3 linked regions of the Coturnix japonica genome follow. The protein of the gene in region 2 interacts with the protein of the main gene of each other region in a pairwise test. Links are inferred from orthologs where the notes say so. Each region holds a gene or a part of one and is shown on either strand. Other genes may lie near its edges.

What was found.
Region 1: the proteins of LZTS2 (region 2) and NEK6 interact in binary tests that used the Homo sapiens proteins (3 or more experiments, as listed by UniProt). The two-hybrid records come from large-scale screens. The link is inferred for Coturnix japonica from reciprocal best matches to the Homo sapiens genes LZTS2 and NEK6.
Region 3: the proteins of LZTS2 (region 2) and HOXB9 interact in binary tests that used the Homo sapiens proteins (3 or more experiments, as listed by UniProt). The two-hybrid records come from large-scale screens. The link is inferred for Coturnix japonica from reciprocal best matches to the Homo sapiens genes LZTS2 and HOXB9.

Annotation. Positions count from the first base shown.
Region 1 is NC_029532.1:7,814,168-7,818,518, forward strand, and holds the start of NEK6 (serine/threonine-protein kinase Nek6), read left to right. Parts: upstream 1-1,550; 5' UTR 1,551-1,565; coding exon 1,566-1,719; intron 1,720-4,351. UniProt on the Homo sapiens protein: Protein kinase which plays an important role in mitotic cell cycle progression. Required for chromosome segregation at metaphase-anaphase transition, robust mitotic spindle formation and cytokinesis.
Region 2 is NC_029521.1:20,199,653-20,204,021, reverse strand, and holds the start of LZTS2 (leucine zipper putative tumor suppressor 2), read left to right. Parts: upstream 1-1,480; 5' UTR 1,481-1,700; intron 1,701-1,789; exon of another isoform or gene 1,790-1,882; intron 1,883-2,437; 5' UTR 2,438-2,476; coding exon 2,477-2,908; intron 2,909-3,298; coding exon 3,299-3,868; intron 3,869-4,068; coding exon 4,069-4,338; intron 4,339-4,369. Other genes in the region: TWNK (twinkle protein, mitochondrial), read left to right, coding at 1-98, 338-598. UniProt on the Homo sapiens protein: Negative regulator of katanin-mediated microtubule severing and release from the centrosome. Required for central spindle formation and the completion of cytokinesis.
Region 3 is NC_029542.1:3,139,021-3,143,301, forward strand, and holds the start of HOXB9 (homeobox protein Hox-B9), read left to right. Parts: upstream 1-1,480; 5' UTR 1,481-1,633; coding exon 1,634-2,141; intron 2,142-4,281. UniProt on the Homo sapiens protein: Sequence-specific transcription factor which is part of a developmental regulatory system that provides cells with specific positional identities on the anterior-posterior axis.

The DNA.
Region 1 (4,351 bases), on a different chromosome or scaffold from region 2:
CCCTCCTACCTGAGTGCTGTGCATGCTGCATGTGCATTTGTTTAACCTCGGTTCAGCTCCATTGATTTATGAAGTCCTCTTGCAAGCACGATGTTGAAGGACTGAAAACACTGGTTTGCGAGGCTGTGCTTGAGGAGTTAGCAGCGTGGGTTAATCGAGTTAATTAGAAACTCCACTAAGGTTTAGGAGCCCAGCTTTGCTGAGCTGCCATATCTAAGGCTAGCTTGAATCAGGCTGCACACTGAAATTCTTACTCTTGTGTAACGTGTCTGAGATAACTTTGTGGTTTGAAAACGGTGTATGTAACATGTTGTTTTCTGTTTGGTTCTACAACAAAACAAAACTGGGTTTAAGACAGAGCAGTAGTGTTGCTGTCACTCGGTCTGTGAGCCGTGAGCAGCTGTACTGAGCTGTGGGCAGCTGGGAGCTGTTGTCCATGGGCAGCAGCTTCAGTCCCCTCTCTCCTGTTGGGAAGAGCTGCAGAACAGGATGTGGCCAAGGCTGCTGCTGGGAGCCTCAGCCTTGTTGAAGGCCCTCTGCATATCTGCGTGCACTTAAAATTCCTTAAAATTTACAGAACTTACATCTAAAATTGCAGGCAGAGTGGTTTTAATTTGTATAGGAGATGTAATAAAGGCATTGGATGTGTTGTATTATAGAAAGATCTGTATGTATGACTGCATAATGGAACCTCTCGAGCGAATGCCTTACACAGGCTGGTACTTGTGCTCTGGGAAGTACAGAGGGTTGTGCCTGGGCAGCAGCTCTGTTTCTTATGGCTCTGGGCAGAAGGTTTCCTGGCACTGGGAAAAGCCCCGGCCCCTATTGGTCCCCATCCACCACTCACAAGAAACAGCTGCAGGTGCAAGGTGGATCCCCTCCTTTCCCCAAAGCATGTGATGGAAGCACATGGAGGATGGGTTTGTGTTTACCTGCGCTTACATGCTTGCCCGTGGGTTTAAATGATGTGCTGGTACTGCTGGGTTCATGCTCCAGCATTGTCACTTATTAACATAACAGAGTCATTACGCACAGAGCGGAATGTGGCACTGAATGGTTTCTGTGTGTTGCACGGAGCTCGTGCGTTCAGTTACGAGTTTCTCAAAAGGTTGATTCCCAGCTTCTCGTCAGAACATTCTGTGCAGGCCTCTGCAGCAAGAAAAATTGGACCCAATTTAAATAGACAGTCTTGTGAATCCTGAAAGAATTTGGGCATTTAGCCCAGGAAAGGGAGAGTTCTCTGCAAGAACTTCATTAACCCTGTCTGTCAGCAGAATAAGGAATCAAAGGAGCTGTGCAGACTTCCCGAAGAACAGATCTTCTTGTTCTGCCCCGCAGCCGCGATGTGCAGCGCTGATCCAGGAGCTGTGTCTGTGCCCTGGGGAGATGGAGCCAAGAGCAGGTTACACATAGAAGAGTGGCTGCTGTCAGTTCCAGATCTTCAGGAATGTGTAGGGAAAGACACCACTGTACTAGTATAGATGCTAATACAGTTGTCCTTACCGTATTTAGTGGAGGAAGGATCCAAACCTGTTTCTGATGTAGATGTTTTTGTAAGTAGAAAGATGTTAAACCTTTTTACCCTGGGAAGAGTTTCTGCTTCCGTTTGGCTGCTCCTGCAAGGTCCGGATACCGGGAAGCTCCTGCAGCATCTGGCTGCTGTGTCTGCAGCACGCAGCCTTTACGAGGTGGCTTTGAAGTTGCCTTTGGATTCGAATGGTATGAATCTTCAGATCGGCTGGGCTGCGTGGTCCTCAGCATCATTTCCTGTGACTTTTGATTATGAGGAATGTAAATACTTCAAGCTGTTGTCCTGATGTTTTGAAGTTGGATGTGCATATATGTATATATAAAAAAATCCCCTGGGTTCCTTTGCATGAGATCCAGGTGTGCTGGCTGCACGGACTGCAGCACAGAGCACCCCCCATGGCCACGCATGAGGTTACTGCAGGCAGGTGGAGAGATGTGGCAGTGTCTGGCAGGGAACAGATACAATATAAATATATTTCTAGCTCATATTTAATCTTTCCTTCATTGGAAATGAATGAGTTCTGAGGAGGATAACGTAAATGTTCTTAAATAATTTGGCTTCAGGCTTGAAAGCTCTATTGCATTATGAGTTAGAAGATAAGCATGTTGTTGCATGCTTAGTAAGCACCATGGTAAAATTCCAGGTAGATTGAGTATGTGTTTGTTTTCAGCATGTTTCCTTAATGCTAGTAGCAGCCTGCAAGGTCTGTCTCAGCTGTTTCAAAGACTGTGAAACCATAGAATCATAGAATGGCCTGGGTTGAAAAGGACCACAACGATCACCTTGCTTCAACCCCCTGCTATGTGCAGGGTCACCAACCACCAGACCAGGCTGCCCAGAGCCACATCCAGCCTGGCTTTGAATGCCTGCAGGGATGGGGCATCCACAGTCTCCTTGGGCAGCCCAGTGCTTTCAAGAGGCTCTGAATTGCACGAAGAAGAGTATGAATTATGTAGCCTTGCCTTGGCTTCACAGCATATCTGAGTGCTGGCTGGAGAAAAGCAGCCCGTTCTTGTTGGTCAGTAATTACTGTATTACCTGTCTTCAGAGGAACTGTTTTTCACTTTAAACGCAGCTGCCTGCTGTCCATACTCAATGTTGTATGTGAATATGCATTTGGTATTTATCTGCCCACAGTAGGAACGGTGTACACAAATATGTATGGGTGGTGGTGGCACAGTAGGAAGTTCTGTGCAGGGAAGGAAGTGCTAGGGCTGGTGGAGGGGAACATTTATCTCACTGTCCAAGTAATTCTTTATTCATAGCCATAAATCTCTGAGTATCCCTGGCATTGGTCTCTTGGGAGCCCTGTGAAGCCATCCCTTGTAATGAATGGATGGAGCTAAGTAGTGTTTCAAGTGTGTTTAGGTTCAGAAGACTTTTAGAAACAATTCTATCTCCTGGTCTGGGGCCGAGTTCTGAGGAGGTGACCAAAAAAATGGCACAAACAGCAAATATCTCACATTAAACCTATTGTGTGTTGTGTGCCACATGAAGAGGGTTTGCAAAAAAATAGTGCAGCAGCAAGGATCAATCAAATAAAAGGGAGAAGGAAATTGATCCGTGGTTGTTGCTGTGTTTGGAGCCATAGGGGACAGCATGCAGAGCTCATCCACATCATAGCCCTCTAAGCTGGAGTGGATGCTGCTGCATCGAGGAGCTGAGTGTGAAGGGAGGCAGGATGGAGACGTGGGAGATGCTGAACCAAAACTGGAAGCAAGCTGGTAGCTGCCTGCCTGCTTGGTGGTGGCAGTTAATGAAAGTAATAGCATGAAAACCTTCCTGTCAGACTTATCAGCTCAAGTACCCTCTTCAGGTGTATGGTATGGATGGAAAAAGGGGGATTTTGATGCAGAGAATGCTTGGAGAGTACTTTGAACTTGCACTATAGATTTGTCCCTGAACTAGACTAGAGAGTACTTGAAAAGATAATGTTACCACAATTGGGAATAAGCTCTGGGTAGCGTAAAGTTTGTTGACTTAATGTCATTTTGCTTCTAGGTATAGAACAGTGAATTACAGTGTCTGTCATGGCATTTGTTTAATGAATATCAGTTGTTGACATGAAGAAGCTGTAGGTCTTCTCAGCCATTTTGCTGCAGCATTCTTGGTGGGCTTGGGGTGTTCAGGAGGCCAGCACCCCGTTACTGCCCACTAAGGCTGTCCGGAGTAGGATCTCAACAAAAAGTCAGCATGAAATCTTAACACAGCGCTGTCAGGATAAGCACCGTCCCAGTGTGGGAGGCTCAGTGCTGCTCTGCAGGCAGGGGATGGGTGCTTCCATCACCTCGGCCTTGGGGGGCTTGGAACCACGGGTGCAGTTCTCACTGATGATTGTGCTTTGGTTTCCACACTACCTCTAAAACTAGGAATATGTAAATGTATAAGAGTACTTCAGTATTTTTGTTCTTAGATGTTGTTTCCATAGTGGGACCACTTGTAACTTGCATTCATGTGAGTTGGATGAAGATAACCTTCTGAAAGGCTTCAAAAACATCATCTGTTAAATGTCACTCATGTGCAGTTTGATTTAAAAAAACGCAGTGCAGTGTCCTTAGGACTTAAAACTATCGACAGTTTTAGTTTGAAGCACAACTGTTAGTTGTGTCTGATAGTCGATGCTTTGTTACTCACGGCACCAGAGCCGGGCTCTGCTGCTTGAAGCTTCCCTGTTTCCACAGATGGAGAAAGCCATTTCCTGCCTGCTGTGGTTTGTCCTTCAGAGGTTTTGTCATTCAGAATGAATGACATTTTTTAGATAGTATCTTAGCCCTTTGGTTATGGATGATGTTACTACGCCTAATATAAAGTTGTGTAACT
Region 2 (4,369 bases):
CCACCGACAACACGTGCCACATCACGCTGGTCATCCACCCGCGCAAGGAGGACGACGAGAAGGAGCTGCAGACCGCCTCCATCTTCGGCTCTGCCAAGGTGGCTCCTCCTGGGCCTCAGGCGGGGACAGGGTGGGGACATTGGCACGTCGCCGTGACCCAAACTGTGCTGCAGTGGGGCTGGGTGTCCCCTGCCATCTGGTGGCACGCGGCTGATTGATGCTCATCAGCTGTGGGTGGGATGTGGCATGAGTTGCTCCGTGGGGTAGCAGGGAGGACGCTGGGTGTGGGGGTGCCCCGTGCCCTGCAGCACCCCCTGGAGATGTTCTCCTCCCCCAGGCCAGCCAGGAGGCCGACAACGTCCTCATCCTGCAGGACCGCAAGCTCACGACGGGTCCCGGGAAGCGCTACCTGCAGGTGTCCAAGAACCGCTTTGATGGCGATGTAGGCGTCTTCCCGCTGGAATTCAACAAGGCCTCGCTCACCTTCTCCTCCTACGGCAAAAGCAAGGCCAAGCTGAAGAAGGTGAAGGAGGAGAAGGCGCCTTCACCCAAGAAGGGTCCCAATGGAGGAGGTGTGGGTGGCTCTGGCAAGCCCTGAGTGTGGCAGGGACAACCTTGGTACTCGGGCACACCAGGTGCCGTGCGGCTGCGCTCCTCCTGAGCAGAGCACGATGCTGGGAGATGGGAGAGGAGTGGATGTGCAGGCTTTGGGGTCTCTGTACCCTGAGCAGGTCAATATAGGGTTGCTAAGTGGAGGCTGATGGCCCAGGTTTACCTCCCGCACGGTGTGGTGCTAGTGCAGCTCTGCCGGCTCTGAGCCCGGCCCCTCTGGCCACATGTACCACCAGCAGCAGTAGCAGCAATGCCTCAGGGACACAGCCCTGGGCGCCTCGGAGCCTCTCATGGCAAAACACTGTGTCTGAGCCAGTCCTCCCCAGCACAGGGGAGCCCGCCGTGGGCTTTTGGCCCATCCCTCTGTTTTCTTTACACTTTTATTAAAGCAGAGCTGTTCAAGCTGTTTGTCCTTCGCTGCATGAGCGTCCCCGTGCTCCCATCCCCCATCCCTCCAACTTTGGGTCCCATTCAGCCCCGTGTCCATGCTGTGCGTGGGGCAGGACGGCACAGCGGGGCCCCATGGCCCCACGCACACACACACCTCCCGCCCCAGCGCTGACCCAGCACCGGGCACCTCCCCGCCACCGCGCCCCACGGCTCCCACGCGTGGGGCCGGGAGGAGGCATTGGCCGCCGCGCCGGGAGCCGGGCCCATGGCGGAGGACGGGGATGTGGAGGTGAGCGGGACGCAGCCCCCCCCGTGCTGCCTGCGGGGCCGTGGTGCGGGCTGAGGCCCTGCCGCCCCCTGAGGGCCCTTCGCTGCCGTCGCTGCCCCGCGGCCCGGCCGTAGGGCAACCCCCTGCCGCCTCCCATCCGCCGCGGGGCCGGGGGCCGGGGGCGGCGGGGCGGGCGGGGCCTGGCGCGGGCCGGGCCGGCGGAGAGCGGCGGTGCGGAGCGGAGCGTGAGCGAGGGCGGCCGGGCCTGGGCCGGAACGGGCCGGTGGGACCCGCGGGGACACAGTGGGGCGCTACGGAGAGGAGGGACGGGGGGGGGCGGCCCTGACCCCGCTCTCTCTTCCTTTTCCCGGCTCAGGGGGCGGCGGAGTCGGGCCGGGACCCGCCGGACGGATGGGCCGCGGCCGGCCAGGTGAGAAGCGGGGCGACCCGCAACGGGAGAGGGGGCCCGGCGTCACCCCGGGGTGATGCTGGGGGCGGTGGAAGCGGGGGGCGGCCCCGGGGCGGTGCCAGCGCGGCGGGCGGAGCGCGGCGGCCCGAGCGCATCATGGGGCGGCCCGGCCCGGGTGGGTCCGGCTCGGCCCGGGGGGACGCGTCGGTGTGGAGCTCCAGGGCGGGGGGAGGGGGCGGAGTGGGGACCGTGAGCTGTGGGAGAGAGGGGTGTAGGGACGGGATTGGGGAGCGGGGTGATGTTGGTGCCGGGGTTGGGGGGGTTGGGGAGGAGGATGCTTCAGGATGAGGTGTTTGGGGCGTCTCTCTGAGGCTGGAGCTGAGGTATGGCAGTGTAGGCAGCGCTGTGGGGCAGAGCAGGGGTGCAGGACCGGGAGCAGTGGGGCAGAGAAGGCACCGTGACTGCTACGCAGTGGGGACCCTGCTGAGTGCATGGGGCTGCCCCTGTGGGGCTCTTCCTTTGGGCCCTGCACGGGAGCACTGGTGCTGCGTGAGCCCCCTGCATGCCCCGTGCCTCCCCCTGCTCCGGCTAATCCCAGCTTTATGCTGTTCTGCTCGACGCCTGCTCATGCCCGGCATATCTCTTGCAGCCATCCCACATCTGCCTGCGCCATTATGGGGGTCCTATATTCATTGGTGTCCTATGGGATGAGTGAGTGAGTTTATTGCTTAAGGCCTCACGTTGCCTTTCTTTTACAGGCTGCCTGCGCCCCCCTGCCCGCTGGGGGCCCCCCTGCCATGGCCATTGTGCAGACACTGCCAGTTTCCATCGAGGCCACGCCTGAGGCTGCTGCCCAGCTCCGCACTGCCACCCGCTCCCCCCTGCCCACCCACGGCACCATGGGCAGTGTGGGCAGCCTGATTGCCAGCCGACCATGCCACGATCGCTCCTGCCAGCCTGCTGGTGCTGGTGGTTCCTTCCGTGTGCAGGATACGCTGCTGCGAGCCAGCCCCCCGGATCCCCTGCTCCACACTTTGCCCCCCAAGAAGCCGTGCTCAGCCACTGCCCATGCCTACACCAATGAAGTTTTTCATGGGGAGTGGCTGGAGGCAGCCTCTCCCGTCAGCCCCTGCAGCGACTCAGACGAGGCACGGGATGAACAAGCCCCAAGTGGTGGCATCCGGGGGCCGCCCCCCAAGCTTGTCCCTGTCTCTGGCAAGCTAGAAGAGGTAAGGTGGAAGCAGTGCTGGGGGATCTGCTCAGCCCTGTGCTGCACTGGGGCTGCTGGGCTTGGGGAGACGTGCTGGTGCATGCATAGAGAGAGCACATGGTCCATGTCGCTGGGGGTGGTGGTGATCTCTGTGCTCCTGCTGCCCTCTTCCTCATGTCAGGAGTGGCCATGTGTGTGTGGGAGCCTGTCTGAAACTGCTGCATGGAGCAGAGGGCACCTAGTGGTCATCTTCTATAGAGCTGTGACACTCTGAGGTGTTGGGTGGGAGCAGAATTGGTGGGGTTACCAAGTCCTCCCTGGTGCTCTGGCAGCATCCCCAGCATCTGCCAGGCCACCTCTGGAGTGTACCTGGTCCCCAGATCCCACTCTCTCCTCTTTTGCCTTGCAGAATGTGGAGAAGACCCTGATCCGCCCTATGGCATTCAAACCGGTGGTACCCAAAGTCAGGGCTGCTCCGGGCCCGGCCAGCCAAGGGGTACGTCCAGGGGCTGCAGCATTATCAGAGAGCCAGGTGAGCCTCACCCACCTGCTGGGGACCACCGGGGCCGACAAGCCTGGCTCACTGAGCTGCCGCACCAGCAGCCACTCAGGCACGCTCTCAGACTCGGGACGCAACTCTCTGTCCAGCCTGCCCACCTACAGCACAGGCTGCAGCCAACATACTGAGCCTGGCAACCTCACAGCCACCCCTCACAGCCACCCTGAGCCCCCAGGTGGCTACCGCCCACCAGCCGGCCCCTCCAACTCGGACAGTGGGCGCTCATCCTCCAGCAAAAGCACGGGCTCGCTGAGTGGCCGGGGCCGGCCCTCCTCCGAGAGTGGCTCCTGCGGGCGCTCGCCGCTGCCTGGTGAGGAGGTTCTGCTGGTGCGTGAACTGGAGGACAAGCTGCGGGAGAGGGAGGCCGAGCTGCAGCAGCTGCGGGACAGCCTGGATGAGAATGAGGTGGCCATCTGCCAGGTAAGAACCATATAAGGGTAAGGAGAACCAGGGGAGCTCTCAGGGCTGGGGGTGCCCATATAGTCCTATTGTGTAGATTTGGGTTATGCATGCAGTGATGTGTCTGGGGAACCCCATGGAGATTGTAGATGCTGACTTGGGGAGACATGGAGGTGGTGTGGGATGTGGGATGTCCCATCTCAGCGTGTGCCTGTGCCCAGGTGTATGAAGAGAAGCAGCGTCGCTGTGAGCAGGAGCTGGAGGGTTTGCGGCAGCGCTGTGCGGCCCAGGTGCGACAGGCGGCCCAGCAGGCGCAGCGTGGGCAGCAGGTCCTGCAGCTCCAGGTGCTGCAGCTGCAGCAGGAGAAGAAGCAACTGCAGGAGGACTTTGCTCAGCTGCTGCAGGAGCGGGAGCTGCTGGAGCGTCGCTGCGCATCCTTCCAGCGGGAGCACACTGAGCTGGGGCCACGGCTGGAGGAGACCAAGTGGGAGGTGAGCTATGCTGGGAACAACCGTGGTGTCC
Region 3 (4,281 bases), on a different chromosome or scaffold from region 2:
AGGGCGGAGGGGCAATAGATTAAAGGAGGCGAATTGATCCAGACTGTTACAGCTGAAGTCCAGAAAACACTTTTGCCCTAATCACACCGCGCACCTTTTCCTTAACCAACATTTACGACGCCATCAGATCATCTCGCAATAAACGCATTTATCATAATAAGTCGGGAAAAACTGACCCTGTTACCCCGCACCGCCGGGCGGGACCCGCACCAAACCGGAGCCGCGCGTCAATCATCGCTTCCAGGGCTGGAAAAAAGAGAAATAAAAATTATAATTCTAATTAAAATTAAGCCGAAATGAGTCGGATCGCCGATAACGCCGTCGGGGAGAGGGCGGCGGGGGGGTGGAGGGGAGGCGGCACGCACACATACAAGCGGTGCTATAAGCGAGGTGTGCGGGGGGGGGAACACCGTGACTGGAAAGGCGAGGGATCCCTTTTTTTTCCCCCCCTTTCTTTTTCCACAGGCAATAAATTCAGGACTATAAAAATCCAAGAAAGCTAATGTAAGTTTTATTAAACTCTTTAACCGTCGCAAGTCGGAGGCACTCCGCAACAAAGCAGAGTCAGTGGCGCTCGGTATTTCACCGGGCTTGTAAAGTTCAATGAAGGTTTCTGATTCCAGCGACGTGGTGAATCACGCTGGTTCGGCTCCAGCAAAGCAACCCCGACATTATGCCGCAAAACACGTGAAGATGAATTCATACACGGAGCGGTTTTTGGATGCGATACGGATAGAAGCACTCAGCCGAGGGCATGGGGAGGGGGAGCAGGGAGGAAGGGGGGGGATCGTGTCTGCAGCTCGCTGCTCCGAGCCGTAATGTCACGCATATGCCACTCACATTTGAAATTTCATATTTGCCCCCATGATCGTACCACGTTAGCATCCATTTTCCGATGCCAGAGGGTTTGTTATTTACAACACCCTCCCACGACTCTCGCTTTTCCTTCCCAAAACGCATCTGTATGCGCATCGTGTGCATGTCGTGTAATGCACACACGAGTATGTGTGTATACGAAACCACTGGGGTGCGGGTCGGAGGGAGGGGGGGATGGGGGGGTAGGGGGGGTTGATTTCTATGTATTTTCTGCCTTTTGGTTTTTGTTTTTTGCTATCGTACTCTGGAGCCCGAGTGGCAAAGAATAGCTTTTATCTCCCATTCCCCCATGGTGGTTATTAAAGGCGAAGTGAATACATCAGCATCTTTCATTAAAAAACAAGGAAAAGAAAAGAAACCCGGACCCCCTCCCGGACCCCCCCCCCCTCCATAACAACAGCAAAATCTACGTAGGGAGATATCAGCCCCAGCTCTGCCCGTTTCGTGGCTTTTCTAAACTCCTGACGTTTTGCAACATTGCATAAACATAAAACAATCCATCCTTGATATGGAATGCAAGGGCGGATGACAGCGCAGCGCAGCCCCCTCGGCTTCGATTGATTTACGCCGAGACTGACGCTTTATCAGGCACACGAAAAAAGTTTGACCAATCATTTTGCTGGGAGCTCACAACACAGCAGCCCAACTGTACTTTGTTGGCTAGGAAGTTCGAGAAGGGGGTAGAGTACAAATCTAGATCTGTCCTATATATTTTTTTTTTCCCTTCATTGAACCGTGCTTTGTATGATGTCTGAGAATGTCCATTTCTGGGACTCTTAGCAATTACTATGTCGACTCTATTATAAGTCATGAAAGTGAAGACTCGCCTTCAGCTAAATTTTCATCTGGGCAATATACGAGTTCCAGGCAAGCTGGGCACAATGAACATCTAGAATTCCCCTCTTGTAGTTTTCAGCCAAAACCTCCTGTTTTCAGCGCCTCCTGGACTCCTTTGAATCCACATTCTTCTGGTACCCTTCCTGCCGTCTACCATCCATATATTCAACATCAAAGCGTCCCATCTGATAGCAGGTATCTACGGAGCTGGCTGGATCCAGTGCCCAGAGCAGAGACCCTCCCCGGGCAGGGATCTGTTAAGGCTGAGCCGCTGCTGGGCCGTCCCGGGGATGTCCATAAACAGGGAACACAGGAGTACAATTTAGAAACTTCTGCTGCAAGGGAAGGGATCGTTTCCAATCAAAGGCCCAGCTTCGAGGACAATAAAGTTTGTGAAGGAAGCGAAGACAAAGACAGAACAGATCAAAGTAAGTTATAAAAGTGAGGAAGTAAACAGTATAAAAGCTGGAGGAGGTGCAATAAAAGGGGACAATGCTGCGTAAAGTTTAAAATCAGGGCTTAAAGAAAACTCTCAGATGGCTGATGCCAACCTAAGGGGAGAGGTGGGGAGGGGAGAGGGGTGGCATTGTTTCTGGGGGGAAATACAAATAAATATTAAAACGAGAGTCGTCTCCGACCAAAACAGAGTCCAGAGAGGACAAAAGCTGGATCGAGCCGTCCTCCTTCCTACAGAACGCTGACTCCGGCAGCGGAGATCATTGCTGTAAGAGGGAGTGAGGGAGTGCGGGGCTGCGGGTGGAGAGAACCGAGGGACTGGAGGGGGGGGAGAGTGCGGGGAAACGCGGGGAGAAGGGCCGGGAGAGGAGAGCGGAGGTCGGGGGAGAGAAGGGAAAGGGAAAATCGAGGAGGAAAAGTTCACGTGGGGGGGAAGTAAACAGCGGCGGGGGCTTTTCCGTGCCCGCTGAGCTGCGCTGCGCCGGCAGATTGAAGGCTCGGGGCTCCCCTTCACCTCGGGGTTTGTTGTTTTTTTGCTGCCGTGGGTGTATTTGTCGTGAGCGTTTTGCTTGGTTTCCTTTTTCCCTTTTCTTTTGTTTTTATTCTTCTTTTATTATTATTTTATTTTATTCTTTTTTTTTTTGCACGCCTCCGCTTCTTTCTGTTTCCAATTACTCGTATATTCGTGCCTCACTTCAGGGTCTGACTGTTCCAAAGCCGAAATATCACTATTTCCAAACTCCCTCCGAGTTGAGTTAAAAAGAGAGAGAGGGGGGAGTGCTTCCAGCTTAATTAGCTCTTTATTTGTAACGTAGCCAGATTGGAGAACAGCTAAACTTCAGCCTGTGCCTTTTTAGTGACCTGGTTTCTCTTTTATTAGCCCTAAAACGCAGAATGAAGAATCGTTTTGATGTGTTTAATAAGATTATGGTTAGTGCTGCTTGTAATACGCGTTGTTGTTGTTATTAAAATGACGCAAGAGAGTTTGAGTGTGTAAGAATGGGGGGTCTTCACCCCGCACCGGTTCGGTTGGTACCCGGGGTCCATCTGGGAGGTGAAAGGGCTGAGAGGGAGAAATTTGGCTCCAATATCGCGGCGAATGTTTGAGCAATGAAAGGCGAAGTTGTTGCGGAGTGTTGGGTTGGAGAGGGCAGAGAAAGCCCCCGCTAAAGGTACAGCGTGCGGAGCGTGTGCAGGACACCCTGGCACAGTCATTCCGTGAATTAACTTCATTTTGGTTTTTCCACCCCATCTCAACCCCCCCTTCCCCCTCCTCAACCCCTCACCCAAGTGTAGGAGCAACAGTACTGAAAACGCGGTGTATTCCCCCCTCCGTGTGCACGATGGTGCGGGGGCATTCTTTTTTTCCCCTATCGTTTGGCTTGCACCGTGCACACTCACTCACACACACACTCACACACACACAAAAAGAAAGTCCTGTTCTATTGTGCTGGGCAGAGATCCAGAACAAACTGCAAGCGGGAGGTGAATGGTCGGAGAGAATGAAATATCCAGGTTCTGTGCTCAATGTCCCTGAAATTCAATATAGAAAAGCCTCGTCCAAGAAAATGTTATTAAGTCCTAAGTAAGCGCAGGGACCAGAGCTAAGAGGATGCAGTGTGGTTTCTCTATGGCGTGTGGTTACGACGCATATTTTGTTTTAAATAATAGTTTAATTTGGGCTAATGTGGAGAGGCTGCCAGGGCTGGGAGACGGAGCTGTTTTGCAGCGAGCACTCCCACCCATTTCCCTGACTCTTTCAATTTTTTGAAAGTATTTCACAATAATGAATCTCTAGGCCGGTTATGGCACCGGGATCTGTGAATTTATTTGCTAGGTTTGCAGGAAACCATGTGCCAGAGCCTCCCCTCATTTGCTCGCCCATTCAGGAGGGTGTATACAGTCAGTAAATAAAATACCCGCGTTTCAAATGCCTCCGATTTTAACGATCCGAGATGCGACCGAAAAAATAAAAGAAAATAAAACCCGACCAAATAAAAATGCGTTATGAAGCAGAGCCCTCCGTTGCCATTAAAAGATGGGTAGCAGGATTAACAGTATCAATTATTAACAGCTTTCTTCCTCTTTAATATTTAATTCTGCATATTAGAT